Struthio camelus: one gene and its partners. The protein of the gene in region 4 purifies or fractionates together with the protein of the main gene of each other region. This does not show direct contact. Links are inferred from orthologs where the notes say so. Each region holds a gene or a part of one and is shown on either strand. Other genes may lie near its edges. The genes, in order: GAB1, NEDD9, GAB2 and CRKL.

Region 1 (7,975 bases), on a different chromosome or scaffold from region 4:
TGCTGAAAAGGCTTTCCTGTCTTTTCTTCTCATGCAGCCTCTTGAAATATCACCAGTATAACATAGCTTTAAAAACATAGCTCTTTTGTGCCTTATCATAGACATAAAATTACAGAGAGCACAAGCCAACGTTTCAATCACTGTGCACTCAGTCCAAAATCATTGTCTTGAGTTTGTCAACTTTTTGTTTGGATAAAGCCAACAACCATGACGCAGAGGTCACTTTTATGCCTTTGAAACGAACACAAACCACTACAGACAAGCAGGAGAAATCTTGCTTTAATCCCTCCCTCAGACAGCACCTTTCCTTCATGCAGGAGAGTACAAGCAGGTAACAGTTGACAGCAACGTGCAAGATTTAAACTTACGACCTTACGGCCTACAGTGCATACAGAAGCTGTACCAACTAAGTCATGCTGAAGCTAATATAAGCTTGCTGTACTATCCCTCTGATACTCTAACTCCTCAAAAAAAACCTCCGTTTTGAGTAAAGATAAAGGAACCACTTCTTCAGGACTGCGAACCCCTTAACCAACACGACAGTTAGAGACTTCCTCTCAAAGGGTGTAATTTTATCTTAATATGGGAGCATGAATGAATGACGTGAATATACCTTGAGAAGATAGCTACATGGAAAAAAAAAAAAAAAAGCTAGTGTATTTAAAGACTGTGATTTACAGTATCAATTTAGGACACCAAGTGCTTGTTTACAATTTCTGCCATCAACAGGCAGCATAACTGTTTGCTATTTAAAGCTTGGGCAGAAAACTCAAACTTTAAAAACTTTAATAGTTTACTTAATACCTACACATTTCACTGCTAAAGTGAAATGGTATCCTGTGAGTATATTCCCTATGTGTATACAAGTACACGCAGCAGATCAGCCAAAAACACAGCCCATGTCCAATCTGGCGGGGAAGCACAGCCCTTCCCAGGCCCATCACGACATACTCTTTGCAAGTCTGATCCTGTAGCCTTAGCATGAACAGGATTTTTGCCAGTGGGAACAGGAGGGTGGGCTATCCTCCCCCTTCTTTGGAAGGGGAAAAAAGCAGAAGAGCCACATTTAGCCAATTCCTTGGCATTTAACAATTCATCAGTAACAACAACCGCGTGTTTCTCTAAGTTTATTCTCCAGGAAGTGACTGTCAATCACTAACAAATTAAAATAACCCGATCACATTAAGATCTGCATTCACAGATTCTCAAATGAACGTGAAGAGGCTTAATTACTTTGGTAAAACTGGTAACTGCAAAGCCCATTTCTATTTAAATACTTGCTAAACGAAGATTTGGGGAGGGAGAAAAACAAAAAAAAAAATGCCCCAACATTTTGTACCAATTACACAAATACCATGAAGTTACTTCGGTGCCAATGGGAAAGGGCCTCGGCAAAGAGGACTTCTGGCATCACCCATCCCTCCTACGTGACTTGACAGCGTCTCCGCCAACACCGAAGAGCTACCCAGAGCACAACAGCGTTGCTGTTCCCCTGTCACGAAATCTGCCCTCTCAGCAAACAAGCTCCATTTTCCTGCAACCGAAATGTCAGCTCCTCTACAGCCTGTTAAAATATTTACTTCGGAGCAACAGTAGGCTGCTATCAAAAAAAAAAAAAAAAAAGAAGAAGAAGAAGACGACAAATGTATTGCAACTCCTTCCTCTCTCCGGCCGCTTTCCCGCTCTGTCCCAAAGCGCTGGGTGCCCGGGCCGGGCCCGGCGGCTCCCGGGGCATCGCCGGCTCCCGCAGCCTCCCGGCCAGCGACGGCGGCCGCCGCACGGAGCGGGGCGGCCCCGGCCCCGGCCCCGGCCCCGGCCCCCTCCACGCGCGCACCGGCACGGCCAGGGTTTACGTTTAAAACACATATATTTGCTAAGCCCGGATCCAAAGGGAAGAAGAAAAAAAAAAAAACCAAAAAACTCCGCCCCTCTCCCAACTCGCTCAGAAAGGCGATAAAACGAAGGCAGAAACATCTGACCGCTCGGTGTCCTTCTTTTTCACCTCCTCCCCCCCCCCCCAATAAAAAATAATAAAAACAGAAAGAAACGAACAGAGACACGTACACACACACAAAGCCGACCGAAAGCCCTGCGGGAGCCGGCCGAGGCGCGGCGGCCGAGGGGGCCGGGCAGCGCCCGCGCCCCGCGTTGTCAGCGGCCGCGGAGCCGCGAGGGGCCGGCGGGGCGGCGGCGGCGGGCCGGGCCGGGCCGGGCCGGGGAGGACGGCGGAAAGGGGCAGAGGCGAGGGGCGCAGGGGCGAGGGCAGGGAGCGGACGGGGAAAGCGGGGGACGGGAGAGGGGACGCGAAGCGCCAAGCGGGGAAGAGCACTCACGTAGCGTTTCAACTTCTTCTCCGGCGGGGACTTTCGGAGCCAGCCCGAGCAGACCACCTCGCCGCCGCTCATGGCTGGGGCCGCCTGCCCGCCAGGCCAGTCGCCCTCCTCCTCCTCGGGCAGCCGGGCCGCGGGAGCCCCGAGACGCGGCGGCAGCACGGCGCCCGCTCCGGCCTCCTGGGGCTGCGGGGCGAGGGCAGGGAGCGAGGCGGGCGGCAGGCAGGGCAGGGGCGGGCGGGGGGAGCGCTCTGTGTGTGTGGTGTCTGTCTGTCTGTCTGTCTGTCTGTCTCTCACGCACGCACAAACAGCCGGAGCGGCGGCCGAGCGGAGTAACGAGCGGGGCTGAGGTGGGAGGCTTCCCCCCTTCCTCCTCGCCGCCCTTCACACAAACATCGGGAGAAGACGACGAGCGGCGGCCGCCGCCCCGCCGCAACTTCGGCTCCGGCGTCCCAGGGCAGGATCCAGCCGCCGCCGCCGCCCCGCCTCGCTTGCGCCGCCTCCTCGCCGCCGGGACCCTCGCGGCGGAGAAAGGCTCCGGGAGGGGCTTCCCCTCCTCCCGGCCGCCTGGCAAATCTCGGCGCTGGCTGCCGCAGCGACTCGGGCGGGCTGGCTCACTACCTCCTGCTCCTTCCCCTTCCTCCTCCTCCCCTCCGCGCGGGGAGGAGGGGACCGGCCAGCGCTCCTGCCTCCTTCGCCTTCACCTCCGGGGCACGGCGGGGGGACGGGGCGCCTCGGCCCGCCGGACGCCGCCCCCCGCGGGGCTCGGCGAGCGGAGCCCGGGGGCGCAGCCGGGCAGCGGCGGCCGGGTCTCGCCCCCACGCCGCCGCGGGGTCGGGTCCCCTCTCCCTCTCCTCACGAGTGTGGGAGGGATTTACCCTGGTATTCAAAGCGTGTCCCCCCCCCCCCCCAGCCCACTTTTTCTCCACAGCGCCGGCCGCGGTGGCCAGTTGAACGACGGCGCCACCCCGCCCCGCTCTCCCCCCCGCCACAACGGGCGGGCAGCCGCGGCGAGCCGAGGAGCCGCAGCTCCCCCTGAAACTCCGCCAGAGCCTTTTCAAACAACAAGGGCCGGGAGGGGGAAGGGAAGGAGGGAGGGAGGGGACGGCGCTTCCGACATGGATCCTGGGAGCTGTAGTCTGCCAGCGGGAGCGGCCCCCGGCGGGTAGCCGGGCCGCGGCGACTGCGGCGGCGCGGCCGTTAGGGGCCGTTAGGGAGGTGGGGGGCGCGAGGAGGCGCGCGGAGCGTTCGGCGGGCGGCGCCCTCGGCGCTGACCGTTTGCCCCGCTGGAAGGCGAGAAAGGAAAAGGAGAAGGGGGGTAGGTTGCCTCACCCCACCCCCAAGAGCAGATTTTTTTTTTTTCTGACTTATGTGGAGTTGAGAGGTCTGCTTTGGGGGCGTGCGGAGCTTCAGCTGAATATTCACGGGAGCTGAGGAGGGCACGGGTTTGTTCTCAGCTCTGAAGGACAGGTCTGTGAAGCTAATGCTGATTTGAATAACAAATGTTAAAATTATGACTGAAATGTTGATTAATTCTTTGAAACACACCGCAAAATCATTCATTAGAGGTGAAAACAAAACAAAAAAAACACCTATAAAAACGGCTTTAAAAACAACTCGGCGAAAGTAAACTCCTTTTAGCAAGTCTGAAACTGCCTTGGCAAAAAAGTAGAAAGTTCGGTTACTGGCTTAGAAAAGTTAAATGCCAAGTTCATTTCTTCCCAGAGCGAGCCTCTGGCCCTGTGGAGTGACGTTGCTTCTGGTAAGAAAGCTGTAATTACACGTCTGCATGTGACAGATGAGATGTATTAATTAAGGTGGACGTGTCGGACGGATTTGAAGCGTCTCTGCAGTTAACACGTACGCACCACCCACCATCGCCCGAGCCTGTGGAGCTACAGTTAAAACACCAACCAGCCAACCCGAAACCCCTCAGCACGAGAGTGTTCCCTACCAAAAAAGTCACGTTTTTTGACAGCTCGGGCCTACTTATTTGTATGTGGTGTTTACAGTGTTATTTTTAAGTGGTGTATCCGCTGGCTGTAATGCTGGCTCCTGCATTTCCCTGGGAAGTAACCACAGCGCCCACCTTTGTTGGTAAAAAACTAACCAGCTCCCTGTGTAGTCAGTGGCAGGAAAGGCGCCTCTAGAGGGCGAGTCAGAGCACCGACAGTAACTCCTGCTCTCCACCAGCCGGTGGAGATTGCAATCAGCTCCCGAGATTAGTCAGCAAATTACATGGTGTTTGGGGTCTAAAGTCTGGTGATGTAAACAGCGACTAATGCGTTTTCTCACCTTTCTCTTCTCACGTGCGTTGCCTCTTGTCTGCTAGTTAGACTGTGAGGTCTTGGGGACAGGGCTTTCTGGTTTGTGTTTGCACAGTATCTTCCACAGGTAGGGTCTGTTCACAACCAAGGCTCCTCTTTGCCACCGTCCTACAGATAAATGCAACTGAGAAAAAAGGACAGTGGTATGCAAGGCAGTCCTAGGCATTATTCAATTAAAAGGGTAAAAATAAGTCCATTGAACAGTTAATCTCTGCTGACAGTGCTCTATCTTTTCCACTCCAACAAAAAGGAGCTCTAAATATGATTTTTTTTTTTCAGATTACTTATTTGCAGGGTTCTGGAATGGGACATGTTGTTTGGTTAACAGCAGTGCTCTTCCACTGCAGACAAATAGTCCCCCTAGTGTACCTTTGTTGAAGGCAGTGTCATAGTTACTGTGATTCATCAAGGTATAGCGCATTAAAAAGTAACTAAACAGCATCAGTAGCATTTTGACAAAGTCACTTGCAAAAGTAACAGGAAAATGAAAGATTAAAGCCAAGAGCCATTGAAATCGGTGCATCCACTTCACTGTAGATCTTTACACAGAGTTACTTTCACTAGTGCTTGAAGTTTTATGACAGGTAAAGCACTATTAAATATTAAAAGAAAGATAATGAAAGAACAAAAGATTTTACCAAAAACATTTAGAAAAAGACAATCAGTGAATTTTGTGCTTTACCAATGTTAAAGTGCACAAATCCTAGCATCCAAACCATCCTCGCTTATATTTTGATGAAACATCATTTCATCTACTTCAGTGGGGTAGCGGAAAGAGTGAGAAGGTGATTTGATGCGTACAGTTGATAAGTATGAGCTCAAATTGTAATATGTGGTTTAGACTTCACGGTGGGCTTCAGTATAGCTCTTTTGTTTAAACCACTAATGTAGTTGTCTAATGTTTTGACATTACATAGATATTTTAAAATATGCTGGAACCGGTGTTAGCCCAGAGTCCAGCATTAGTTTGTCCTGTAACTACAGTAGCAATTAATTTTCTTGAAAACAGCTACCTAGAGATGCACTTTGTGTGTAGGTTTCATGCCTGCCATATAGTGATAAATCACAGGTTAGGAAAAAGGAGTAGATGTCAAGTATATCAATAAATGATGAGAAAGTAGTAAACACTTATTTTTAGACCGTGCCTTATTGTTATATACAATAACAGGCCCAAACACTGTCTTAAAAATGGTTCATTGGATTGTTGAATTTAAGAAAATATAATACAGCAAAGAAATACTTCAGAATGACTTGTTAGATACGTAACATCTTTTTTTAAGATGTTGTCTAATGGACTGCTTCCTTGCTGATCATGGTGGTGTATTTCTCTTTCGACACTCAATTTGTTATTGGAACTACCCATTTACAATTTCACTGGCACTTTGACCAGTAATCTTAAGAAAGAGCTGCATGTGGCTATATTTATCTTTTAAAGTAAGTTAACAGCTAGCAAAACTGAGAATGTTAATACAGTGAGTTTCCATGCATAACTGACAATGTTCCACAGTTCATAATTGAGGCATCCTGAATTAGGGCAAACCAAAGCAATTAAGAACACTGATGAAATGCATAAATAGCACAGTATTTAAGTCTGACTTGTAACGTCTGCATAGTTATTGCTGTATAACTGTCTATGTAGAGAAGTTAGTGGGCCTAACTATAGTGAAGCAATTATGCCGTCCTTACAGTAAGGTAAGGTAGGGCGTGATTTCCTTAAGTTAGGATTAAAAACTGCAAAAATTTCTATCAAACTTGAATGTTTCAGCTAGTTTTCTTATTGTGTTTTTGCCTTGAAACTTTAAACAACATAAGCGTGGTCCACTTTGAAATTCTCCTGAAGTACAGCTCGTGCGTGGAAGTACAGACTCACTAAGGTCACAGAGTGTTCTGACAAGCTCGTGGTGGAGCCGTTGGGTCACACTGCCATTTGGCTTGATAGACTACTGTAACTGCACATAAGGACACGAGTACCCTCTCCCCTCACTTTGTTCCAGAGGGTTATTTCTGTACAAGTGTGCTGTGATTCAGGAAGCGCAGAGAATAAAGATCCTATGAGCTCAATTAATTGCACTATGGAGATCTTTTGTGTTTCTGTACAAGGACAGTCTTGAAGAAGAAAGGATTTTCTTTGCCTTGCCAATGTATCAGTGATGGCCTGAAAACCTGAAGAGGTTTCATTGCAGGTGCTAAGACAATCTTGCTCTCTCATGTTGTGAATACTCAGGACTTCTGAGGAATTGCCACCTTATTTTTCAGGTGAAGTTCCTTTGCTTTAGATTGTCTCTTTTTTTTAATAGCAGTAATAAAACAATCAACTGCAATCAGTTGTTTCGCAGGTGATGGGGTTACTGAGTTGTTTTTTCCATTTTTTGAAAGAAGTTTGCAGTTTTTGCAATGCTCTATGTAGCCAGGGAAAGGATGTGCCCAACAAAGCAGCTAGAGAATTGAGCAGAGATGGAATTCTCACTGACTACAATGCCAAAATAATTTCAGGCCTAGCCACTGCACGGTTGCATATGTTACTATTTATGAACCCTGCATAGCTGTTGTCATCCAAAATAGTATCCGTTTTGTGACCAGATACTGTAGTGAAGTATGTAGTACAAAACTGACTAAAATGCACTTTAACTGGCCAGGCGACACTGTGCTCTGGTATGTGACTACCACTCACAGTCATGGTGCTTTTGCCACCTTCCAACTAATTAACTGTGTTATTTTTGGGCTTTAGGCTCCTCTGACATTTTTTCATCTCAATTATTACCTTGCTTATAAGAGCATGTGAAAGAAGCCTTGGTTCTTCCATTGACTTTGCGTTATTTTGTGAGTGCATTCCAAAGTGTTTTAAATGGGTTCTCCAAAATTTTGGAGTAGAATATTTATATATTTTACCACATAGAGTAGGTCATGTGTAAATTCATTGCCCCTGGTATGTCTGCCAAGGCTTCTTGACAAAGGAAGCAGGAGCTGATAGAAGAGGAGATTAAATTCATATGGATTTGTTTTTTAAAAATATGAATGATACTAATTTCTCATACAAATAGCTTAGAAATGCTGGAATTGCATAATAAGACCACAGCTCTTAATTATGACATAGACTTAAAACTCTAATAAAAAAAATCATATTTTGCATGTCAAACTATATCCCAGAACATGTTTACGTATTTACACAGCAATGAACCGGTGCAAAAAGATTCTTCTAACCTTAAAAAAACCCAATATAGACATCTGTTTTCATCTCAGATATTTCCTCTCTGAGCTCGGAAATCTTCCTAGATAAATTTAATTTACAGAGTTCTTTTTGGTCAGTTTGCGGATAGC
Region 2 (7,177 bases), on a different chromosome or scaffold from region 4:
GACAGAGGGAGCTGCATTTATTCACTTTATCTGAAGGAGGGTCACTAAACAGGGCCTTGATGGTTGACTTACAAAGTTAAATGAGCGATTCCTGAAGAAGGCCTGCATGAAATGCCATTCTTGAGAATGTGAATAGCTTTTGTGTTTTATTATTAAAGGATGGGGGATGCCTTTAAGACTGGTTCCATATATTTTAAAAGAAATGTAGAATTCTAGAATTAATTAAATGGCAAAAAATAGTCAAATTTAAAAAGATACTTCCATTAAGATTTTTTTTTCTCACACTATGACCTTCGTATGTAAACCTGACCACTACAGAAAATCACTGTCAACCCTTCCTTCTTCCAGGTTTCTGTTACTGTTGCATGCAATAAACTGCTTGCCTTGAAAAGATTTCCATCACTGGTCAAAGAAAAAGAGAACAGATTTTGTTTTCATTTGCTGAAATGCAAGCTATTCCCTTCTTTGGATGAAAATGAAGGGTTTTTTTAATTATTACTTACTGAGATGGGAGCAGGGCCTTTCTGTCCAGATACACACAGAAGCCTGCCCACACCAGTGGTGAATTCTTGTTACTTTCTTTTCAGGAAACAGCAGCATTTCATCTTTTTTCACATTTCTCCAAGCAAGCAAATTCCAAATTCTGATTGTGTATAAAACCATTCTATACTGTTTAAATTCAATCCGCTGCACAGCAGCTGAACCAGTTCAGGCAGCATTATATAGGCTGTAGGATCAAGGCTCATTATTAGGACTCTCCTTTGCTCATAAAGTGCAGTGGCATTATAACTAAATTAATTTTAATCCCAATCCCCTGGCCAAGTATCGCAGCAAGAAGTGATGAAGATGCTGCATAACATTATCCAAAGCATACTTAGGGCTTTGTGCAGGAAAAAAGATAGCTCAGCGCTTCCAAAATCCAGAGCTCACAGACCTGTTCTGAAAAGACTCTCTCAACTGTGAGAGAGACGCTCTGCTGTGTCTCTCTCTTCTCAGGTTGTGTCATGGGAAAGGGGAACAAGGGATTTTTTGTTTTAGTAACCTTTTGGGCCAGGATATCTGTCTCGTGTTCTTCTCCTATCAGTGTTCACAGCACACTAGTTGGCTGATTTGCTTCAGTGGGTACTCCCTTCCCAGCCTGGCTGACAGCTCTGTTTCATGTTGTTTGCTGAGGGGTGCGGGAGGCAAGCATAGAGCTTGGTTGACAAGCAGCCCCTTTGGCTGCAGGACCATTTCACCTGCTGCCCTCCCCCAGGTATCTCAGAGCTGTATTTGGCAATTGGGAGGACATAAGGAGAACACAGTGGTAAATAAAAGAAGCAATCAGCTCATCAGGATGGTGTATGAAAGAAGCAGACAAGCACTAGGTAACCCAAATGAGCAGAGAATAATATTAATTTGCCCTCAGCAAAAGCAAACAAACAAACAAAAGCCATTGATGCAGGCACAAGATGAAGTCACAGAACTCATTTGCTACTTCACTAGAATTGCAGCGGCATAAAATACAAGGCAGTGAATCAAGTCATTGCTGTGCTGTGAAGCAAAAAGGCCCATTATATGAATCACCCTCCTGAGAACTTCAATAGGGCCCTGTCGTTATAAATCCTGGCAATATAGCTCGAGTTGCCTCTACAACACAGACACTGGTAAAGCCAGGTCTTGGCTTCCTCATCAGCATGTTCCATTGTATAATTTAGCTGATTACCCAAGGCGACCAATTCAAAACTTCCCAAGACTACTACGCCTGAAATGCAGTATTACATAGTCAAGGCACAGCAGTTGACAAGGTTATTAAGAAAAGCTAAGTGCTTGCACTAACCACGAATGTGTGCTTTCCACAGTCCTCACTTTTTTTAGTAATGTGTCAAGGTTACAGGATCATATTTACAAATGCCTCTTTCAAGGTATATCCAATTCCTGATATTCATGATGCATCAGGGAGCTCAGCCATGCTGCAAGCTCTGCTAGATGTGCTACACTAAGTGGGAGTATTTCACCCTTGGGGAAATTAAAAGCACCCTCAAAGCTCAAAGAGAACCTAAAATGGTTAACGGAGTAGGTGAGACAGACTCGAGGGAGGGTGAGTCTGAATAAAACCAACAGTGAGACTTAGTAGTGAGGTAGTAGTATGGGATAGCAATCTTTCTTCTTCCTTGCAAAATACTAATTATTTTATCTGTTCCTTTACAATTGTAAAGCACAGCTATCAACACTGGTAAACTTTGGGGTTTGCTGCCCCAAAATTTCATTCCAGTGACATCTACTTAAACATGTTTAGTATGCATTTTGGAGGAATGCATAATAAAGGAAAGCAATAAATATACAAGGGAACACCCAACTAGAATTTGACATTAACACATCTGTTACTGCATATTAAGGTCAGTCAGGTACATTTTTAAAATATCAGAAGCACTACAGGCTAAAACAGAGGAAGAGGTACAGCTTCTAGAAATTGTAAAGCATTCTGAAGAAGAAAAACAACAATCGCATGAAAATCCTATATTGGTAGGATGACTGGAAAACGGATACACTCTGGATTTAAATATAGGTGAAGTCAGAAATATGATTCTGCATTTCTTATATTGGTCTCTGGCGCTTATCTAGTCTTTATTAATGTGGTAACCAAGTGCTTTACAATCTTTAATGCATTTATCCTCTTGACAATGGTGCCAGAAAGGGAGGCTTTCACATATGGGAAGAATGGAGTGCAAAGAGATTATACAGGGCTTATTCAAGGAATAGGAATTTGGATGCTAGTTAAATACCATGCTAACACCTTAGCCATTGCATCCTCTGTCCTTAGGAAATGTACCCCAGGAGAAAATTTTATCCTCAGAGAGAGTGAAGGGAAAAAATATGCCAAAAAAAAAAATTAAACTCTATAGTTACAGAAACACTCCAAAGAGATTTGCACTCTCCTAATTGTAAGCTGGCTTTGTATAATCAAAGAAATTCAGAAATAATTCACTGAAAGAATTATTTTCTTAAATAAAGTATCTAATGATACAGCAACCAGGCAAGCTTTGTTCTGCTGAAACTACTGAAAACGTAAAAGAACGTTGCCCAAAACTCCTCTGAAAAACTATAAAATCAGCAAACAAACATAAAGAAAAAAATAGAAAAAAAAGAGGCCAAGCAGCTAGTGAAGCGACAGCAACGCATAGAGAGCACAGTCAGCAGCATGTTCTGCAGTGCAGAGAGCAGACGGTCACTTTCCTCACTTATAACTGATACATCTCTTGTATTGACAGGGACTCATATTATTAGGGCATGTGCAGTCAAGAAGAAAAATACAGACGAAAAATAGTTTTGCATGCATTTAGTAAATACGTGCTATACAACTTCATATTTTATCCTGGAAGTAGAGAATGGAGGAGGCGATTACAGAAAAGGGTATTACATTCTTTAGAAGCCATGAAGCCATTTTAGCACTTGCATCCTTCTCTAGTGGATCGGTTTGCATGAGCATTTAAGGATGCCACTGTACTGTGGAAGTTATGTTTGTAATTTAGTAGTACAAGATTATTATTTGCTGTTTTTCCTTAGGCCACTAGAAATAGTCTTGGGTCCATCTGCGACCTAGAAACGACTGGCTGGCTGTCGGGGCAGGCCCGGCTCCGCTCCCCTCAGCCTCACAGGCCCCTGAGGGAGCAGGCGAGGCTCTGAGCAGCGTTTGGTGCTGTTTGTCACTTCAGGGCAGCTATTCCCAGGGCTGCTTTCACTGACGGCCAGGCCACTCTGAACCTTGAGAACAACAGAAATCTCTCAGCAAAAGAGACACACCAGCAGGGGTGGGGAGGAGGAAGGGGCGGCAGACAGAAAACCTTTTGTTCGGTGCCCGTTTCATGTGGAGAATATGAGGTGAACGGCTTTGAAACGACACGGGACTGTCAAGGAGCCGCTGGGTCACAGGAAGCAGGGCTGTCGGCCCTCACGTTGTGAGCGGGTTTCTTTCCTTTTTTTTAAGAAAAGCGAGGAAGCAACTCATCTTAGCGAGCCCCCCGCCTTCCCCTCTCCCCTTCCCCTTCCCCCCCCCCCCCAACGGCAGCTCCGCCGAGGTAACGGCCACCCCGGCGGCGCGAGCGGGGAGGGAGGGGGGGAAGGGAAGGGAGGGGCGCCTTGTCACGGGCGCTGGCCAATGGGGGCGGTGCTATGCAAATGAGCGGGCAAGCCTGGCGGCGCGGCGGGCGGCGCGGCGCTGAGAGGAGGCGAGCGGACGGGCGTGGTGGTGGTGGTGCTGCTGCTGGTGGTGGTGGTGGTGCTGCTGCTGCTGCTGCGGCGGCGGCGGCGGCTGCGGTGGTAGCGCGCTGCGCTGCGCTGCGTGGAGCTGCAGGCGTTGGGGCGATGCGCCGGGGGCCGCCGCGCGCCGCCTAGCTCCCCGCGCGCCCGCCGCGCTCCCCGCGCGCCCGCCGCAGCCATGAAGTACAAGGTAAGGCGAGGCGGCGGCGGCCCCCGCTCCGCGGCGGCAGGGAGGGAGGGTGACCCTGCCCCGAGCCGTTGAGGGGGAGCAACTGACAGGAGCCTGGCGGGTGTTGTTGGAGGGAAATCGGGGCTTCCCTCGACGGGTGCGACCGTTGGCCAGCCGTTAGCCGGGGAGGGGGGAGGCTGACCGGGGTGGGGGGGGGGGTTGCCTGCTCTCGTCAAAATGCCAAAGGAGCTGCCCAGCGGCATGACGGTGTAAGTGAATTAGTACGGGAGGCTTTAAGTGGAAAATAATGAGGCAGTACATAGAGATAAGCTTGGAGAGGACTCTCAGATGTTTGCACGGCGTTGTGTGTTGAAAGAAGGGGCTTTTCTCTGCCTGTAGAGCTGTAGGTGCCCATCTGATGGCTAGGTTGCCCTCTTATTTACACCACTGCTGGTAAGGGTGTAAATACATCTGCTTGTAGGAAAATGCATTTTTATGTGTTGTATCCCGCACTGATTTGGGACAGTTATTGCTACTTCTCCCTGTGATGTAATCATCCCCTTTTCCAAATCTTTAAGAATATATTTGGTTATTAAATTGCAGTTTTTCAGGGTGGTCTGTTTTAATAGGCTGAGAGGAAAAAAAAACAGATGTATATTTTAAAATGGACAGTATACCCCCCTCTCCCGCCTTAAATAAAAGCAGTGATTTAGCCTAACCAGACTTTGTTTCAGAAGACACAAATATGGAGATTTCCATCATAATATTACTCTACTTAAAAATGTCTGGGCAAGGTACTGGATTGCCTACAGGGCATTAGATTACTGTACAGACATACCGTAATCTTGTGTGATTGGAAAAAAAGGGGGAGAGAAGGAAAACTTTACTTTCTCTGCCAAAAATAACTTCAACATCAATAAAAAGGTGATTTAGAAATGTCACATACATTACATACACTTACTTAGAGACTAGCTTACTTTGGAAGCAAAGCCCATCTTTTTATTAAATTTAAGCAGCATGTAGTGTAAGAGAGCCCAGATTCTGTATTGCTGAGCAAGGCTTACAGACCTGTGTAGAAAGGGATGTCTGAGTGCTGCCTAGACAAATATATATTTATTCTGATTCTTCTCTGTGCATCTTTGAGTTGGGCCCAAGCTTTCAGAAACTATCTTACCTAAACTTTGGGAAAGCTTAGAGTTGCTTTTCAAGGCTGCTGTCAGTTTCACTATCTCATGATGGTTAAAAGTGACCAAGAAAAGGGAAATTCTGTAAGATACAGATAGAGAAAGACCCTCAGTGACCTAGGAAATTTTGGCCTGGATGTGGTGGCTTTTTTTTTTTTTTTGACTGACTGATTAGACGTTTGTGATCAAATTCATCACCTGTTCCTTTCCACTCCCTGCTCAGATCAGTTCAGGCAGACTTGACACTGGTTTAGGAAAGCTGTACTTCTTACCAGAAAATATCAGACAGTTGGGAGTGAAAGAGCAGAAAATGTCATTGTTAGTCCAGAGCTCATGAAATGCTTTCCAATTACCTGTGACTAAGCAACACTTTTCTCAGTGGCAAAATAATGGCCCTGCATAATTATACAACTCCCTGACTTTTCTTGTCACCATCTAACCTTCGTGTGCTATGAGGGGATCATACTTCATATGTGGCCACGAGGCACTGCAGGCATAGGAACTGATAAGGTAGCTAGCTCTACCTTATTCGCCCCTTATCAGGGCGAATCTTCCTTGCTTTGTAATATTTCCTTTGCCCAGTCTGATTGGAATGAGCGCTTTGGTTCAGGGAGGTGATTACGTAATTCTAGACGGAGCAAGCTAGACAAAGAAAGAGCAAGTCATAAAAAACGAAGACAGAGTTTTTGGCCTCAAAAACCTTCTTGTCAGACTAGAGTGTTTACTTTCCCTGGGAAACGTGAAGTAGTTACTTATACTGTTTAACTGGGACAATCATCTTTAGATCTGTTTCTTATCCCCAGAGTAACATATAATGAAAATACCTGCTCATTCAGCCTCTGCTGTTTTCTTTCTATAGGAGAACAAACTCCTATACTTTTTATGCAGAAAATGAAGGAACAGAGTGTACTGGTGTCTTGCCTGGGAAAATACCATCACTTCAGAGGTGGCTTGGTTTCCAAGTATAGAGTTGGGTCTGCTTAACTACTCCTGGTATTCTCCAGGTGGTATTATTTTGGGCCCTTTCATTCTTTACTTCTCGTGGCCTTGTTTAATAAGGCCTTGTTTAATTAAATGACTGAGATGCTCATTATAGTCCAAGGAGAGTATTAACATTTGTATATAACAGGAAGTGACTCGTGTGCAAGGCCCTGAGTATGTCTTCCCATCACTGCTGATGTTACTTTTGCTGGGACCGAACACAAGGTTTTGCTGGTCTGAACTTCCTTTCTGCTACTCGTTCCGTATGTTCTACCTCTTTTCACTCATAAACCTTTTGAAAATTTGTTCCCTCTCCTTACTCTTCTTTGACCTAAATTTCTTTCATTCTCCGTCCCATTCTTTAAACATTTTCCCAACATAAGACTCAAGCCCTAGTCCCCTGAAAGCCAGTGGGACAATCCCTATGGATTTCAGCAAGTTTAGAATTTTACCTTATATCTGTCTCTCCGCTTTTGTCTCTCTGTCTTTTGCTCACTGTGCCTGATTCAGTGAAGATGTGACTGCTTACATCAAGAACAAATTTGACCCCAAGTTAAGTCCTATTCTACCATTCATGCACTAATTGGTTACTGGAGAATACAAA
Region 3 (7,662 bases), on a different chromosome or scaffold from region 4:
TGATGGCAGGTTTTATAGGAGTGGGGACTCCTGGCCACATCTGAATGCTCTGGACCCCTACTGAAGGGGGCAATTTGATTAAAGCTCTAACACCCTTAATACAGAATCACAGAATCACAGAACGGTTGAGGTTGGAAGGGACCTCTGGAGTCCAACCTCCCTGTTCAAGCAGGGTCACCTAGAGCACACGGCCCAGGATCACGTCCAGGCTGGTTTTGAATATCTCCAGAGAAGGAGACTCCACTACCTCGCTGGGCAACCTGTGCCAGTGCTCTGTCACCCTCACAGGAAACAAGTTTTTCCTCAGGTTCAGATGGAACTTCCTGTGGTTCAGTTTGTGCCCGTTGCCTCTTGTCCTGTCGCTGGGCACCACGGAGAAGAGTCTGGCCCCATCTTCTCGACACCTCCCCTCTTCAGATACTTGTACACATTAATGAGCTTGCCTCTCAGTCTTCTCTTCTCCAGGCTAAGCAGACCCAGTTCTCTCAGCCTTTCTTCAGAGGAGAGATGCTCCAGTCCCCTCACCATCTTTGTAGCCCTGTGCTGGACTCTCTCCAGCAGTGCCATGTCTCTCTTGGACTGGGGAGCCCAGAATTGGACACAGTACACATTGGACACATACATGGCATGGCCATATAATATCACCATCTCTATACTAAAAAGTGATAGGGCACCACCAAACGAGACACAGTACAAATGAAGGGCACAGTTTTCCAGCCACTGCAGACTTTCCACGTGACACAGCACACTTCACTAGAACTTTTCTCTATTTAACTGGAACTAGGAAGTAAAGAAGGGGGGGGGGGGGAAAGCTGCCAAGCTGCCTATCTAAGAATAAATGACTTCAAAAAGATGATAGAGGCAAAATTCAGCAACTTGGGCCCATGGTCATACAGGAAGCCAGTGCAACCAGCATGACTTGGAGGGAAGTCCCACTGACCACAACTCCGGGACCGGAGTATAGAGAAAACCCCTTGAGTTACATATGTCCATTGCTGCTTCCTGACCCACTAACATTGCATAGGACGACCGGGTACATTTGGGAATGGCTGAGTTTCCTCTTGGGGGAATAATGATGTTTTCAAAACATAGGTGGCTTGCAAAGCACTTTGGGATGCATCTGCATGAAAAGCACTCTTATGCACATCAATAATTAGCACTAACCACTAGCATGTCACACCCTCATGTATAGCATTTAGCAGATTTATTCAGCTCTTGCTGGAATGCCAGAGCACAAGCTAGATATTCAGAAGGCGATGTGAGCGCCCTTTCATTGAATAGATGTTGGAGAGCTAATGATGTTTGATGAGTTAAGGCCACTGGTGACTCAGTATCAGCAATTAGTTGATTTCTGCGGGAGGAAGGTGCTTTGCTCCATTAAGCTAAAAGCATCCTCCGCTGTTCAGCATGCACAAAGTCAGTCTGTCCATCTTGCAGAGAGCTGCTTACATACATCAGGCTTTGTCTCAGTACATTTAGGGGGCAGGGAGGGAAGGAACTGGATTTTCCCTCAACTCCATCACACATTCCATCTGCAGCCTGGAACCAACCCAACCCTCCCGCAAAAGGGACCAGGCACAGCAACGAGTGGATGGCCAAGAGCAACCAAGCATGGTCCAAAGTGAGGAAATGTAGCGCCGCTGAAGTCTACGGTGCTGCACTCATTTGGGACTAATGCTCAATCATGAACCAGTTACCTCCCTATGGAACGGGTCTACTCATACCCACCACCCTCTCTGGGGTATGCAGCGGTGCGTCAATCAATAACACGTCTATGGCACAGGGGAGACCCCAGCGACGCTTGTCCTGCCTGCGCTTCCCAAGACGCACAGGGGCAAAAGCAACAGGAAGGAAGGACAACTTTGGTGGTGCCTCTCAGGAAGGAAGGGTATCCCAGGAAGCAAGAGCATCCCGCTCGCGCTGGATGCTGCGGTGCCAAGGAGCCGAAACCCGGCAGAGTTGAGTCACCGGAGCCAGCGCGCAGCACTCAGGGACTTCATCTGCCGAGTCACAGGACGGCAGCTTTACATAGTCGCGTTCCTGAGCTCTGGGGCTTGTGGCGCACTGGGAGAGCGTCAGGCGGCGGGCGCAAAGAACAGTTATTTCTTTCAAGGAGTCGGGAATGTGACAGGGCTGGCATTTGGACCCTTCTTTACAACTTCCTTGAACTGTTTGATCTCAGCCGCTAACGACACACACACACACACATAAAAAAAGGCTACCAAAGTGCTACTGGTGCAATCTTCAAAGAGTTTGAACATCAGATGATTAACAGCAACCGCAAGCGGGGAGGGGGGGAAGCAGCCGTTACGGGGTGCGGAGCGGTGGGGGGGGGGGGGGAAGAGATCCGCGTTATTTTTATTATCCCGTAAAAAGCAATCTCCAAAGGCGCCCAGCGCAGGTGGGGGGGGGGGGGGGGGAATCCAGCCACGGCGGGTAGCGAGCGCCGGGCGCCAAGCGCAAAACCACGCGAAGAGCCGAGCCGCCGCCGTGGGCAGCCGCGGCCGGGCCGTGTTGACCCGCGTGGCGCCCGCAGCGGGCGCGCACCCAGCGCCGTCCGCGCTGCGCAGCGGTGCGCAGCGGTGCGGAGCCGGCGGCCGGGGCCGCCCCCCGCGGAGCGGCGCGCCCGGGGCTGCGGCGGCAGGTGCAGCCGGCGGCGCGCGTGTGTCCCCTCGGGCCGCTGCCCGCGCGTGTGTCCCCTCGGGCCGCTGCCCGCGCGTGTGTCCCCTCGGCCCGCTGCCCGCGCCTCCCACCCCCCCCCCCCCGTAAACCCACTTACATATCTCCGCAACTTCTTCTCCGGCGGGGACTTGCGGAGCCAACCCGCGCACACCACCTCGCCGCCGCTCATGGCGCAGAGGAGCGGAGCGGCGAGCGCGGGGCGCTCAGCGCCGCCGGCAGCGCTCGCCCATCACCGTGGCAGCCGCGGCCGCCGCCTCCTCCCTCCTGCTGCCGCTCCTGCTGCCGCCGCCCGGCTCTGCCGGCAGCCTCCTCCCCCCGCCGCCTTCCCAGCCCCGGCCAGCCGCTGCGAGCGGGGAAAGCAGGAAACTGCCTCTTTTTTTTCCCCGGCACACCACGCCTCCCTCCCTGCCAGGCGAGCCTGCTTTTATTAAAGATACAAAACCCCGCACACGGCACTGGGAAGGGGCGGGCGGGCGGGCGGGGGGGTGGAGGGGGCGCTCCCGCGGCGGCAGCCCCGGGCCCCCGGCGGCAGCTGGGTGGTCGCCGGGCTGGCCGAGGGCTCCTCCTTCCCCCGGAGGTGTTGCCGCTCATTTCGGCCCGCACTGGCGCACAGGGTGTGCGTATGTAGCTGCATGCATCTCTATAGGAACTTTAGCGTAGAGCAGGTGACCTCCTGGAGCAGAGCAGATCCTGTCTGAGCCGGGATCTTGCATTGCAAAGCCCCCCACCAAGCTAGTTAAAAATAAATAATAAGAAAAAAAAAAAAAACACCCCAACACCCCACAGGATAAGGATATGGGGATTAATCACTAGATTCCCCCCCGCTCTTCCCCCAGACGCTTCCCCTCTCTTTATGGATTTTGTCCTTCTCACCCCAGGGAGGAGAGGGCGGCTTACACCCTGCAGTGGTTAAGGGTTTTGTGGGAGATGTGAAGGAGCCGGAGGAAAACAAAGAGGTGGAGGCAAAACACGGTCAAATGCCATGCTCTAGCAAAAAAAAAAAAAAAAAATCCTCCTGGAAAAAAAAAAAGGAAAAAAAAAAGGAGAGGAATCAATAAAAGCTTCATATTTTATTATTGATTTTTAAATAATGGAGCAGCACCCACTGAAAGGGGATTTGACTGCCACTGGAGTCTCATGCAGACAAGCTGGGTTTCGTATTACAGTGTATTATACCCTAGCTGAGATTTAGCCATCCTCTTCCAGATCTAGAAACGCTGTGCGCTTCAAGGTCTGATCCTCTCCCCATCCGAGGCACCAGCAAAACGTCCCTTCGCAGCCCTGAGAGGAGGATCATGCTCTAAACCTTCTTTTTGCCTTTCCTTAGAAGCGAAAATCTGGAAACAGCGCTGATAGAAGTTTGCTAGCGCCGAGCGCTCTCAGCTCTCAACGCCTTCACGCTATCCACGTACCGGGAAAACACAACGCCGGGCTGCTTGCCGGAGATGCATTTCCCCAGCCTGCCTCTATATGACAGCTCTGCCCCAAACCTGCTTGGGCACATTAAATCGTCCCTCCCTGCCTCAGTTTCCCTTCGTGGCGTTTTGTCAACTTGTCCAACCCACGTGGGCAGGGACAGTCTCTCGCTTTGTACTGTATCTGGTGCAATAGCACCTAGACGCCGGCTCACACGCCAACACTGTTCGAGCAGGGATCTTGCATCACTTTACAGGCAGTAATTACAGCTTGCAGTGCCTCGGAGGGGTAGGGATGACACCTCTTCTCAAGATGGGGACAACACAGTTAAGCCAGGTGTTGTTTACCATCTTCGTGAACACTGAAAGGAGGGGACTAACCCCTTAAAGAACAAGTATATCATTTTTTTCAACCATATTTTTTTCAAAATGCTCGTCCTTTTCCCATGGGTGAAATGCAAAGTCTGTAAAGAAGCTTTTCCACCTTTTCACCGCCCACATCGAGGGCTCGGTCCTATTTAAGCGTGGGGCAATCTTTCCATAGAGGCCAACTCTTGTCAGATCAGCATCTCCGAAAATACGCTCCGTCTGACGGGACTGGGAACCGGAGAAGACAGAGAGGCCGCTTCTCGGCCGACACAAATCAGAACTGCTGTATTCAGTGGACTGGAGCGGTATCAATTTACGCTGCCCGAGAGGCTCACCTGTAAATCTATGACGGGTTACAAAGGCGCTTTGCACGTTCACAGGGAGAATCGCTTCCCAGCGACCGACCTTCTCAGCCCGAGAGGTCTTCCCAACAGCCAGGGCAATTCCAGGAAAGTCAGCAGCTTACCCTGGGCTTAGGACGACATAATCGAGCATGGACTATCGGCTCTCATTATGAATACACTGGTACCGTACAAACCCCTTCCAAAGCATATGTTAATGAGTCACAGGTTAGGAATTCCCTCATGCTGACACTGATGCAAAGTGGTATCAGTCTTCAAACCGGTCACAAAGAACCCCGGCCGCATTTCTATGCTAACAGCTCTCAGCACGCAGCATCGAAAACACTTTGTTTGGGCGATAGGCGTTTCAATGAAATGTTCCGTAATTCTCATGGTTTGCACGGAATTGAAGGGGAACGAGTAGTCACACGTTTGGCGACAGCCTTGGACTGCGTTCTCCTGCTCCCTTGCTCCTTTTGCTCTGCTCATCCCCTACTTTGGGTCGAATTTATTGACCTTTTTCTATCACGAGATATATCCGAACAGCGTTCGAAAGATGAATTCCCCCCACGGATTTTGCCCTAACGTCTTGGCCATGCACGTACCCCAGGCTGCCGTGACTTTCAGAAGGGAAAGGAAATAGGCTGCATTTTACGTGCTCTGAAACACACTGCCATCGCAAACATAAAATGTAAGCTCTATGCGGGGGGGGGGGGGGGGGGGGGGGGGGAAGGCCGAAACGACGACACTGCATGTGAATGCGGCTGCCTGATGCTGCCACGGCTGCGCGCGGAGTGAGAACAGCAAGTTCATTCTGGCATCGCGCTGCCGCATCACATTTTATACCATGCACGTCATGTTACAACGCTTCTTACTGCTGGTGCCACTTAAAGCATCTGGCCACACAAATATTACTCCAAACGCTTCTAGGACTTAAAAGACAAAGACACAGCTCTAATTTGGCAGCGCTCGCACGCCCGTGACAGTTTTCCCAACTTCAAGCTGCTCTTGCACCCGACGGCAGAGCCTGAACTAAGGCTGGCCCCAGCTGACGGCGTGAATCTCCCGAGTCGTGAGCTAACAGCCAACAGCCCCGGCTGAAAACTGCAAAAACCACCTCCTTGTGCTGCAAAAAAACACGCCGAGGGGGTTGTGCGAAGCAACTGAGACTCCTTCTCTGCCAGTGGGACCAGCAAAAAAGGGGCAAAGGCAGAATTAGGAGGCAGACTGAGGGAGAAATTAAGAGAGATCGTATATAAAATCATATTCCTCACACGAGGCTAGGGCAGTTCCAAGAAAAAGCCCCCGGCGCCGTGCTTTAAGCACGCCGAGGTGCCAGAAAAGGAATGACACTTTCTGCTGCAGAAACCTCTGTTTTTTTAATCACAGTCTTCAGCGTACTTCCTTGTTCTTGGCCGTAAGGGAACCGAAATGTATGTCTGAAAAATCACAACTTCTAAGAAACAAACCACAACGCCCGCCGCTGCTCTTTGCCTGCTCCAAATTTGTTTAAATGAGCTGTGCCATCTACTGGCAGCAGGGGAAGAAAGCGTGATTTCTCCCCTCCACACACCAGATTTTTAGTGTGTAAGCAGTAAGGACAGAGACGCAGGGCATTTCCTGGGGATTAAGCACCAGCTGGGTGAAATGCTTTGGGCTACTTACCCCAGCCAGGCACTGATCTCTTGGAAATGCCCTATGCTGAGGTTAATATAAACCTAAACATACTGGAGGGGGACAGGCTTTAAAAACGAGCTGTGCTGCTTGGCGATACGTGCCTGCTTCTCATCCGGAGCGAATGTGCGGTCTCTTGAGATCCAGCTCCCCAACAATACGACCTGGCTTTATCTTCACCAAACAGCTCCTGCAGCAGAGCTGGAGGCAAACAGCTTCCTTTATTTCACAAAAAAACGTTCAAGGTTAGAAATTCATCTCTTCCAAGGAGAACTTGAATCTTGCCACCCTCCGTAAAAGAGCACGGCGAGCCCCCCAGAACAGCCCGTAATCGAAGCCAAACCACAAGACCGTCCTTCCTCAGTGCAGCTCCAGCAGCACTGGCTGCTTTCCATGAGTTGGGACAATCGTAGCGCAGGATGCTCTGAGATGACTAGACCATTTGAAGCATCGTTGCTACCGTGTTCTGGCAAAGACAGAGGCATCAAAGCTCTGACGCCTCAACAGAGGCTCAAAAAAGGGAGAAAGGAAGAGATGAGGCAGGGGTCATCAGTGTCCAAGCTGCACATGCACTCTTGGACTTATCAGTCCAGTTGCTAGTAGTGAAGAATAGGTGTTGCTCTTCCAAGACGGTGATGTGAAAACAATGGATCAAACCCGCTTCATCCCCTTTCTGTTGGGGATTACGGTGAAATCCTGCACATCACCACGGAGGCAATGCGCTGGGCAGCACTGGGAGGATGTCTGGGTTGCTGAGCTGGACCTTTCTGCGGATGCAGCTAGGCCAGGCTCCAGCCTGTGGAGCTCTTCCATTCCTTACACTTGAAGATAATTAAATGGATTTTCCTATAGACGAACCACACTCCAAGCTAAAGCCCAGTCGTGTTTCCCTCGCTACATTGGCTAGTTTCAAGCGGTTCTGCCTGGAGCTGAACCACACCAAAACGCTACTGAACTATTCCCAAACTTGGGGCTCAGATTAGAACTTCTCATGCAAACTCTCTCACCTGGAGATACATCCAGATATATTTTTGGCAGCTCTGTTTACCCTTATTTTCACTTACGCTGTTTCCACTGAGGAGGAGAAGAGGAGGAAATCAGTTTTCAGATTGTCTTCTCACCTTCTCAAGACAGAAAACCATGGCAGCTTTGCCTGGTGGAAAGACCACCAGCCTGTGCTC
Region 4 (6,897 bases):
GAAGTTAAGTATGGTTGGTTGGTTGTGTTTTTTATTAAGATATTCCAGAAACCTTAAATAGGAATATAATTGTTTCTTTAAGGTATCCTGCTGAAGCCAAAGAGGAAGAAACTTTAGAGACCAGTCACTCCACACAAGCAAGGGCCTAGGCACATCTGCAATGATGGTAAAAACTCACTATTGCCAGAAAACAAATAGAAAATTTAGTTTTCAACTGTTTTGGCATAAACGTCATCTCCTGCAGCTAAAGAAACTTGTACACCAACAAACTTGTTCAATCTCATCATGACAACTATCTCCTCATCCTGTCCTTAACGGTATTTAAAAAAAAGCCTTCAAGAATACAAGAACCTGAATAAAGTATTCCCCCCTCCCAAAAAAGCCAAGTTTTTATAAGGAAGAAAAAGAAATAACAGTTCTGAAGCATATGCCTACCCTTCGTATTCTAAGTCCAGTTCATTACCTTTTTAAAAAAAAAAGTCAGGAAATGCTACTTTTCTTTCTCCCTTCTAGCAGGAAGTCTCCTTTAAGTTTAATTTTGAGCCATCAACTGTGTCATTGATTTTTCTCCAAGAGTTTGAACAAAAATACTATGAACAAAACCATCTAATCAATCCCATTAATAGCTCTGTTTAAAAAAAAAAAAGGTCAGTCCACAGCATGCAAGGTCTCAAATCTGTCTCTGTACGCTAGGGGAGCAACCACCAGTTCCTATATGCAATCAAAAGCTTGAAGTGATGTGGTTCTGAAATGTTTGTAATGTGCTTGACACAAGATTCTAAATAAATAGGAAGTGAGCAAGTTGGGGTCAGCTAAGTGACACCAAGTTTTTAAGTGGCTGAGGAAAGCAAAATAAGTTATTGCCATACATGACTATGAACAGGTTCTTATTTTCAGAAAAGCACATCCATATTCAGGGAAGAATTGAGATAAACATAAGGATTGCTTCAATGTAGGTTTTTCCTCCCAACCATCTGCAAGTTTAAACATGCGCATAATGCTGGGCAGCTCCATTTAAGTAGCCCTGCAACTGTGAAAGATGAGCAAATTCTTCACCTATTCATCTTTCCAGCCAAAGCACAATTGTGCAGACTTTCTAGCAGCTTTAACAGTTCTAGAAGCTAGTGACTTGTCACATCCCTTACATCACTTGACAGCTCTGCAGAAAGATTTTTTTTGACCATCTGAGTTGTGGAATTTGACAAGATATTGTCAACTTTTGACATTACTGACTGTTAAGAACATCACTATGCTTAAAGCCAAGCTTAACTCGTGAGCAAAAAGCTCTTTTTTTTTCCTTAAGAACTTATTTAATCTGCAGATGATAGGAACATTTTAAACTGCTGAATTTAGTAGTGAACTAATTTGAATTTGTTTGTCTGTGTGTGTCTCACTATTTATCTAGCTTTTATTTTCACTCCATTCTGTACAGGAAGCTGAACAGCTTTGAAATAACATACTGAGAAAAGCTTTATAAATCAAAGTAAGGAGCGAGCAAGTTCATCAATAAATCTAAAATAGTTTACTGATGCAAGCAGCAGGTTATGTCTCATGTTGGGAACAGAACAAAGAATGAGCTCATAGCTATGTCATATTTTTCCATCCTCCTAGAGCAGCATTTTTTAGTGTAGTGCATGCAGTATGCAGACACAGGCATACAGTGCCATTACCAGGCTGGGAGAAATATTACGATTTCCATTCTTCGGGGGAAGTGAACTCCAGAAGCTTGGGAAACGCTGTCCTAGAACGCGTTAAAACTAACTTAACAGGGTGGTACAGCCTAACCACGTAAAGGCCTTTTCTGTTCTAACCGCTGTGGACGCGGAGACGGACAGCTCTGAGGCTGTATCTCGATCGCTGAGTGGAAGAGCTGTGAACCAGGTCCTCAACCGCCCGAGGAGCAGGACAATACCGCCAGGCTGATACAAAGCGAGGCCACACCCACTGCGAGAGAATTGCAGTCGGGGGGCAGAGATGCACGCAGCACCTTCGCACATGCCCACGGGCTCTGTAAGGACGTGCACTGCTATAGCCGATATACCTGCAAGAGCAGCTCGGAACGGCCGGTGAGATCCGGAGTGCGGAGGATCGCTGTTGGAAGCGGTTCCCAAGGAAGGGCCCTCAGGGGCCGTTTCCTGAGCAGGCACGGCGGGGCCCCGCGTCCAGCGTGGGGATGCCGGGGCCGCGGGGGGGGGAGGCTGGCACTCACCTGGGCGCCGGCTCGATGAGGGTGGTGGTGTCCAGGTAGTGGATCTTGTAGAACTCCAGCAGGGCGGGCAGGTGCTCGAACTCCTGGTCGCCGATCTTGAAGCGGCGGTTGGGCAAGGAGTTAATGATGTAGTGGGAAACGCGGGAGTTCTCCGACACCGAGAGCACGTAGTCCCCCGGGCAGGTGGACGAGTCCCGCACCAGGAACATGCCGTGCCGCTGCCCTTGCAACCGCGTCTGCGCCTCCGCCCGCGACACCGGGCCCACGTACCAGCTGGAGCGGTCCGACGAGTCGAAGCGAGCGGCGGAGGACATGGCTCCGGGCGGGGAAGGGGAAGGGAGCGGGGCAGGAAGGTGAAGAGCCCGAAGGCCCAGGCGGAGGCAGAGACGCGGAGAAGGGAAGGCCTGGGCGGGGAGGCGGAGCGGGCTGGGGGCTAGCAGGAAGCGGCTAGTGCTCAGCCAGCGATAGGAGGCCCGGCGGGAGAGAGAGAAGGAAGCCCCGGGCCGGCGGAGCCCGAGCAGCGGCCGGGGCGGGGCAGGGCGGGCGGGCGCGGCGCGGCGGTCGGGGCCCCCGAGTCTCCCTCAGCGGCGGGGTGTGCAGGGCATCCTTCCCGCCTCGCTCGCAGGCCTGCGGCGGGCCGGGCTGGGCGAGCGGCGCCGGCTCACTAGGACGGGCGGCGAGGGGAGCCCGCTGCCGCTGCCTCGGGGGCTGGGGGGGATGGGGACGGACAGAAGCGCTCGGCTCCCGCTTTCTCCTGCCGGTTTCCCTCCACTCTCGGAGCCGAATGCTAAAATGGCGGCGGCAGCGCCGGGCGGTGGGAGTTTTCCGGCGGCGGCGGCCGCGCAGGCGCGTTGCGCTTCTCGGCTCGCGCCGGGGGGGGGGGGGGGGGGGGAAGGAGGAGGCGGCGGCGGCGGCGGCGGCGGCGACGACCGCGCGCCGCGGGGGGAGGGGCGGCGGTCTGAGGGGCGGCAGCGCCCTCGCCTCCCCCCGCCGGGGCGGTCCGAGCCTTCCGCGGCGGAGCCCCGGCCGGGCCGCCCGGCCCGCTGCTGTGGAGGCCGGGGGGAGCGGGCCCCCCCCCTCCTGGGCGGCCGCCCCGGAGCACCGAGCAGGCCTTACCGCGGCCTCCCCCGCCCTCCTCCTCCCCCCACGAAAGCCTGCCTAGCCGAGCCTGGCCGCTCCTTGGGCAGCGCGTCGGGGGGGGGCCATTTACCTCCTTCACCCACCGCCGTGCCCCCCTCGGCGTGCCCCGCTTCGGCCTGTCCCCGCTCCATCCCTGTGTGCCGGCCGCCCCGTCCCGGGCGAGGGCTCCCTGAGGCGGAGATCAGCCTGGCTGAGGTTTTCTTGTTCTGTTAATTGAATTTTTTGGAAGGGCAAAAGGCACCCCCGTGATAACCCCCTCTGAGGGAGGTAAGTTCCTACGTAGCTCAGGAGAGGAGACGGTTTCCTGTCTCTTCTGCTGGGCCTGTTCGCAGCTAACGGGGGCGAAGGCCTTCGCCTCTGGTCTCGGGGGCGAGGAGGGCGCCGGGCGGGAAGGGACGACGGCGATGGCCTTGCAGCCGCCAAGAGGAAGGAAACCCCCGGAAAGGATGCGGCGAGCCCCGAGGGCAGGGCAGGCGGTGCAGCATGAGCTGTTTGAATTTTAGAGGGAGCTCAGCGCGCTGTGACCTCAGAGGAGGAGCGGGAGCGTGGGCAGCGAGGCCTACGCCCTCTGACTCAAGTTTGGGAGGGCCGCTGGTGGTAATTAGCGTATCCCACTGCAGTGGGCAACGGCATGCCAAAATAAACAGCACCCAAAAGACCTAGTTCCCCAGACATGTGATAAACCTTTACAAACATTGTGATTTTAGCTCGCTCTCATGACTTTGTTTAATTTGTGTCCTTGATTTTTGTTTTTCGTTTTGCTTTTGGGGCTGACAGCGTGAAAATGAAGCAGCTTTAAGCATGTAAATAACGTTTCAAGAAGAGACGGATTTAGGTTGACTGTTTTGAAGTGCTCAGTTGGACCTATTGTGTCAGCTTATTCCAGCTTTGATATTTTTCTTTCATGCTCTGTCTTTTCTGAAAGCTTAGTTACAGCACGGTCTTTTTTTTTCTCCTTGTTTTTCTTCCTACGTTGGCCACTAGTGCCAGTTGAAGTGTTTGGACTGGAAAGCATGGGATGTATCTCTCTAGACATTCAGCATAGTTCAAACGATCTAAAATGGAAGACTTGCCTACTCGGATGCTTATGGCTTAAACAAAATTGTTCAAGAAAATCTCATCACTAGCGCGAAAGGATCTTAAAGCATGCCCCTAAATACATGTACAGGTATCACTTTACCAGCCGTTGAAGTACAGCCATCTCCTGGGTGGAAAACAGCAGCTGTTTAGCCATGTGCAGCAGTGCTAGCCAAACTGAGCAGACCTAAAGGTGAAGAATACCGTCTGAAGCTATACAGCTGTGTAAAGATATTCTTCCATTTCTAGGGCAACTTACCTGGCAGCTATACCTCTGATTCATTCCTACTGGTCTAAGTTCTCATATCTGTCAATTGGAATCAATTTTAAATGCATGCAGACAGGCTACCACAAACTATGAAGGGTGCTGTGTTTTCTTCTGTCATTTGAACGGATTTGGATCATTTTCTGTGTGGCCATAGCCAAAATGTAGAGATTGAAAGATAGTATTTCAATTTGCAATAACATACCCAACACCATTTAAACATAATTACAAAAAGTCACAAGTTAGCAGCAGAATCAGTAAAAAATAGATGCCTTTTCATCCAAAGAAGATTCTAAAATGTAGCGAGGTTTTCAATTTGGAAGGAGCTGTCACAATTATCTGTTCTGACCTCCTACATTCTTGCAGGCTGCATGTACCCTTCAGGTAATTCCTGCTTCAGTTTCAGTAGCTGTGGTTTAACCAGGCCAGATCTAGGTAAAAGATCCCATTTCTATTACACTAAGAGAAAAGAAGTAACTTGTTCAAGATTGTTAATACTACTTGCTAAGACTGGGCATCAGCTACCTAGACTACAGGCAGTGATTTTAGATGTGTTAAATCCCTACAACTACTGTTTGTCTAGGAAGAGTGGAGAAATGTATGGATTTTTAGGACTGTTTAATGGAACCACTTTACCTTTTTATTACATATACAGAAGTTTATGCTCTTTCTCTCACCCATTGGTGGCTTCCACCCTCTCAGAGGATGGTCGAATGGTTGCTGCAGCACAACTGAGGAGGTGGGGATTTCTTAAAGTGCATCAGCTGCTGATGAAATAAAAACTCTGTTGGCACAATATTCCCTTGAGAAGGTTCCTGTCCCTCTTTCCCCATGCCCAGCTGCTCCTTCCTCCTTTCACCAGAAGCTTCTGCCCCTATCAGTTGTACTGAATAACAAATAAATTGTACATGTGGCTGGATTCTAAGTAAGGAGAAGTAAACTTCTATCAAGGGTATAGAATGAGACTCCTTATTTGTTTCAGATCAAGTATGAATTGTGCTTCCACAGCAAAATTAACAACCCTAATCTAAATCAAGAGGAAATGGGAAAGGAGACGGTGGATTTGGAAGTAGGTGGAGAAGAAATACAGTAGTGAAAGCAGTTATGAAACAAAAACTGAAGCAGTTACAATCACTTCTCCAAATGCAGAAGCCTGAAATAGTTCAGGATACATGTCCACTAATTACAAATCTAGCAAATATGCCTATATAACTTTGCCTCTGCGCGGACAGGAAATAGGAAAATAGATGATCAAGAAACCTAGTTATTATTCTTTTGGACTTTCTAATGTATCAGCAGTTTAAGCATTTGTATTTTGATCACTTAGTTCTGAAAGAATTGTGTGGCTATTCTCTTACAGACCTCAAATATTTAAAGCTTTCTTAATTCATTGTCCATCTGACCTCAATGTCTTATACTATACTACTGTCTTAGAGGACTGTTTTTAAAAAAAAAAAAAAAAAAAAAAAGGAATGCTTCTTACTATAAGACTGACACATTTAGGAGGCAGAGGATTTATTTAAAAAAAAAAAAAAAGAAGAATCAGCCAGAAATCTCTATGCATCTTTTTCTTAAGATAACACAACATTTCACTGGGCTCATGAAGGCAAGGTTCCTGAAGCATTATCTTTGATAAGAAAACCCATCAATAGTAATCATGGCTCAACATATCAATGTATAGTCTCTTGCAATTTCTCTCTATATGTAACTGCAGTAAACAAGAAGAACAAAGCTCTTTACACCTGCCAATTTAGGTAAAAGTGCCAATTCTAAAACAAAGCAATTTCATTATTGTTTAGCCTATGTGTTGGTTTGGAAAGGTACATGTTAGACGAAAGCGAGCTACTGCTAAATGATTAGATTGGTTTGAGCTAAGCTAAACTCTGTTTTCTACCCAAGCAAAATACATGCAGGTAAGGTAGTACGTATTATAACTTTTGACAGTCACAATACACCCCAGATGAAAAGAAATTCTTGGGGTGAAAGCAACTGAAGCTTTGTTTTTTGCTAAATCAAAATACATAATATCTGCTCTTAGGTTTAGTTGATGTAATTTAACTGTATTTTATCAGTAACTGAAAAAAAATAGAAAAAATAGTAGAACACTTCTCTAACGTATGTGATCTGCTTGAAGAAAAAGTCATTTCCTCATAACTACATTTTAAGCCTTATATTGATTTGCTTTGCACAGCATCCAGCTGCAACA

The links.
Region 1: the proteins of CRKL (region 4) and GAB1 purify together in Homo sapiens (affinity purification with western blotting; 3 studies listed by BioGRID and IntAct, with this or other methods). This does not show direct contact. The link is inferred for Struthio camelus from reciprocal best matches to the Homo sapiens genes CRKL and GAB1.
Region 2: the proteins of CRKL (region 4) and NEDD9 purify together in Homo sapiens (affinity purification with western blotting; 4 studies listed by BioGRID). This does not show direct contact. The link is inferred for Struthio camelus from reciprocal best matches to the Homo sapiens genes CRKL and NEDD9.
Region 3: the proteins of CRKL (region 4) and GAB2 purify together in Homo sapiens (affinity purification with western blotting; 3 studies listed by BioGRID). This does not show direct contact. The link is inferred for Struthio camelus from reciprocal best matches to the Homo sapiens genes CRKL and GAB2.

What each region holds. Positions count from the first base shown.
Region 1 is NC_090945.1:33,971,261-33,979,235, reverse strand, and holds the start of GAB1 (GRB2-associated-binding protein 1), read right to left. Parts: upstream 3,015-7,975; 5' UTR 2,406-3,014; coding exon 2,334-2,405; intron 2,112-2,333; exon of another isoform or gene 2,065-2,111; intron 1,427-2,064; exon of another isoform or gene 1,412-1,426; coding exon of another isoform or gene 1,355-1,411; intron 1-1,354. UniProt on the Homo sapiens protein: Adapter protein that plays a role in intracellular signaling cascades triggered by activated receptor-type kinases. Plays a role in FGFR1 signaling. Probably involved in signaling by the epidermal growth factor receptor (EGFR) and the insulin receptor (INSR).
Region 2 is NC_090943.1:101,051,601-101,058,777, forward strand, and holds the start of NEDD9 (enhancer of filamentation 1), read left to right. Parts: upstream 1-4,164; 5' UTR 4,165-4,417; coding exon 4,418-4,429; intron 4,430-7,177. UniProt on the Homo sapiens protein: Scaffolding protein which plays a central coordinating role for tyrosine-kinase-based signaling related to cell adhesion. As a focal adhesion protein, plays a role in embryonic fibroblast migration.
Region 3 is NC_090942.1:220,164,594-220,172,255, reverse strand, and holds the start of GAB2 (GRB2-associated-binding protein 2), read right to left. Parts: upstream 3,012-7,662; 5' UTR 2,852-3,011; coding exon 2,780-2,851; intron 1-2,779. UniProt on the Homo sapiens protein: Adapter protein which acts downstream of several membrane receptors including cytokine, antigen, hormone, cell matrix and growth factor receptors to regulate multiple signaling pathways.
Region 4 is NC_090958.1:9,181,368-9,188,264, reverse strand, and holds the start of CRKL (crk-like protein), read right to left. Parts: upstream 3,013-6,897; 5' UTR 2,524-3,012; coding exon 2,210-2,523; intron 1-2,209. UniProt on the Homo sapiens protein: May mediate the transduction of intracellular signals.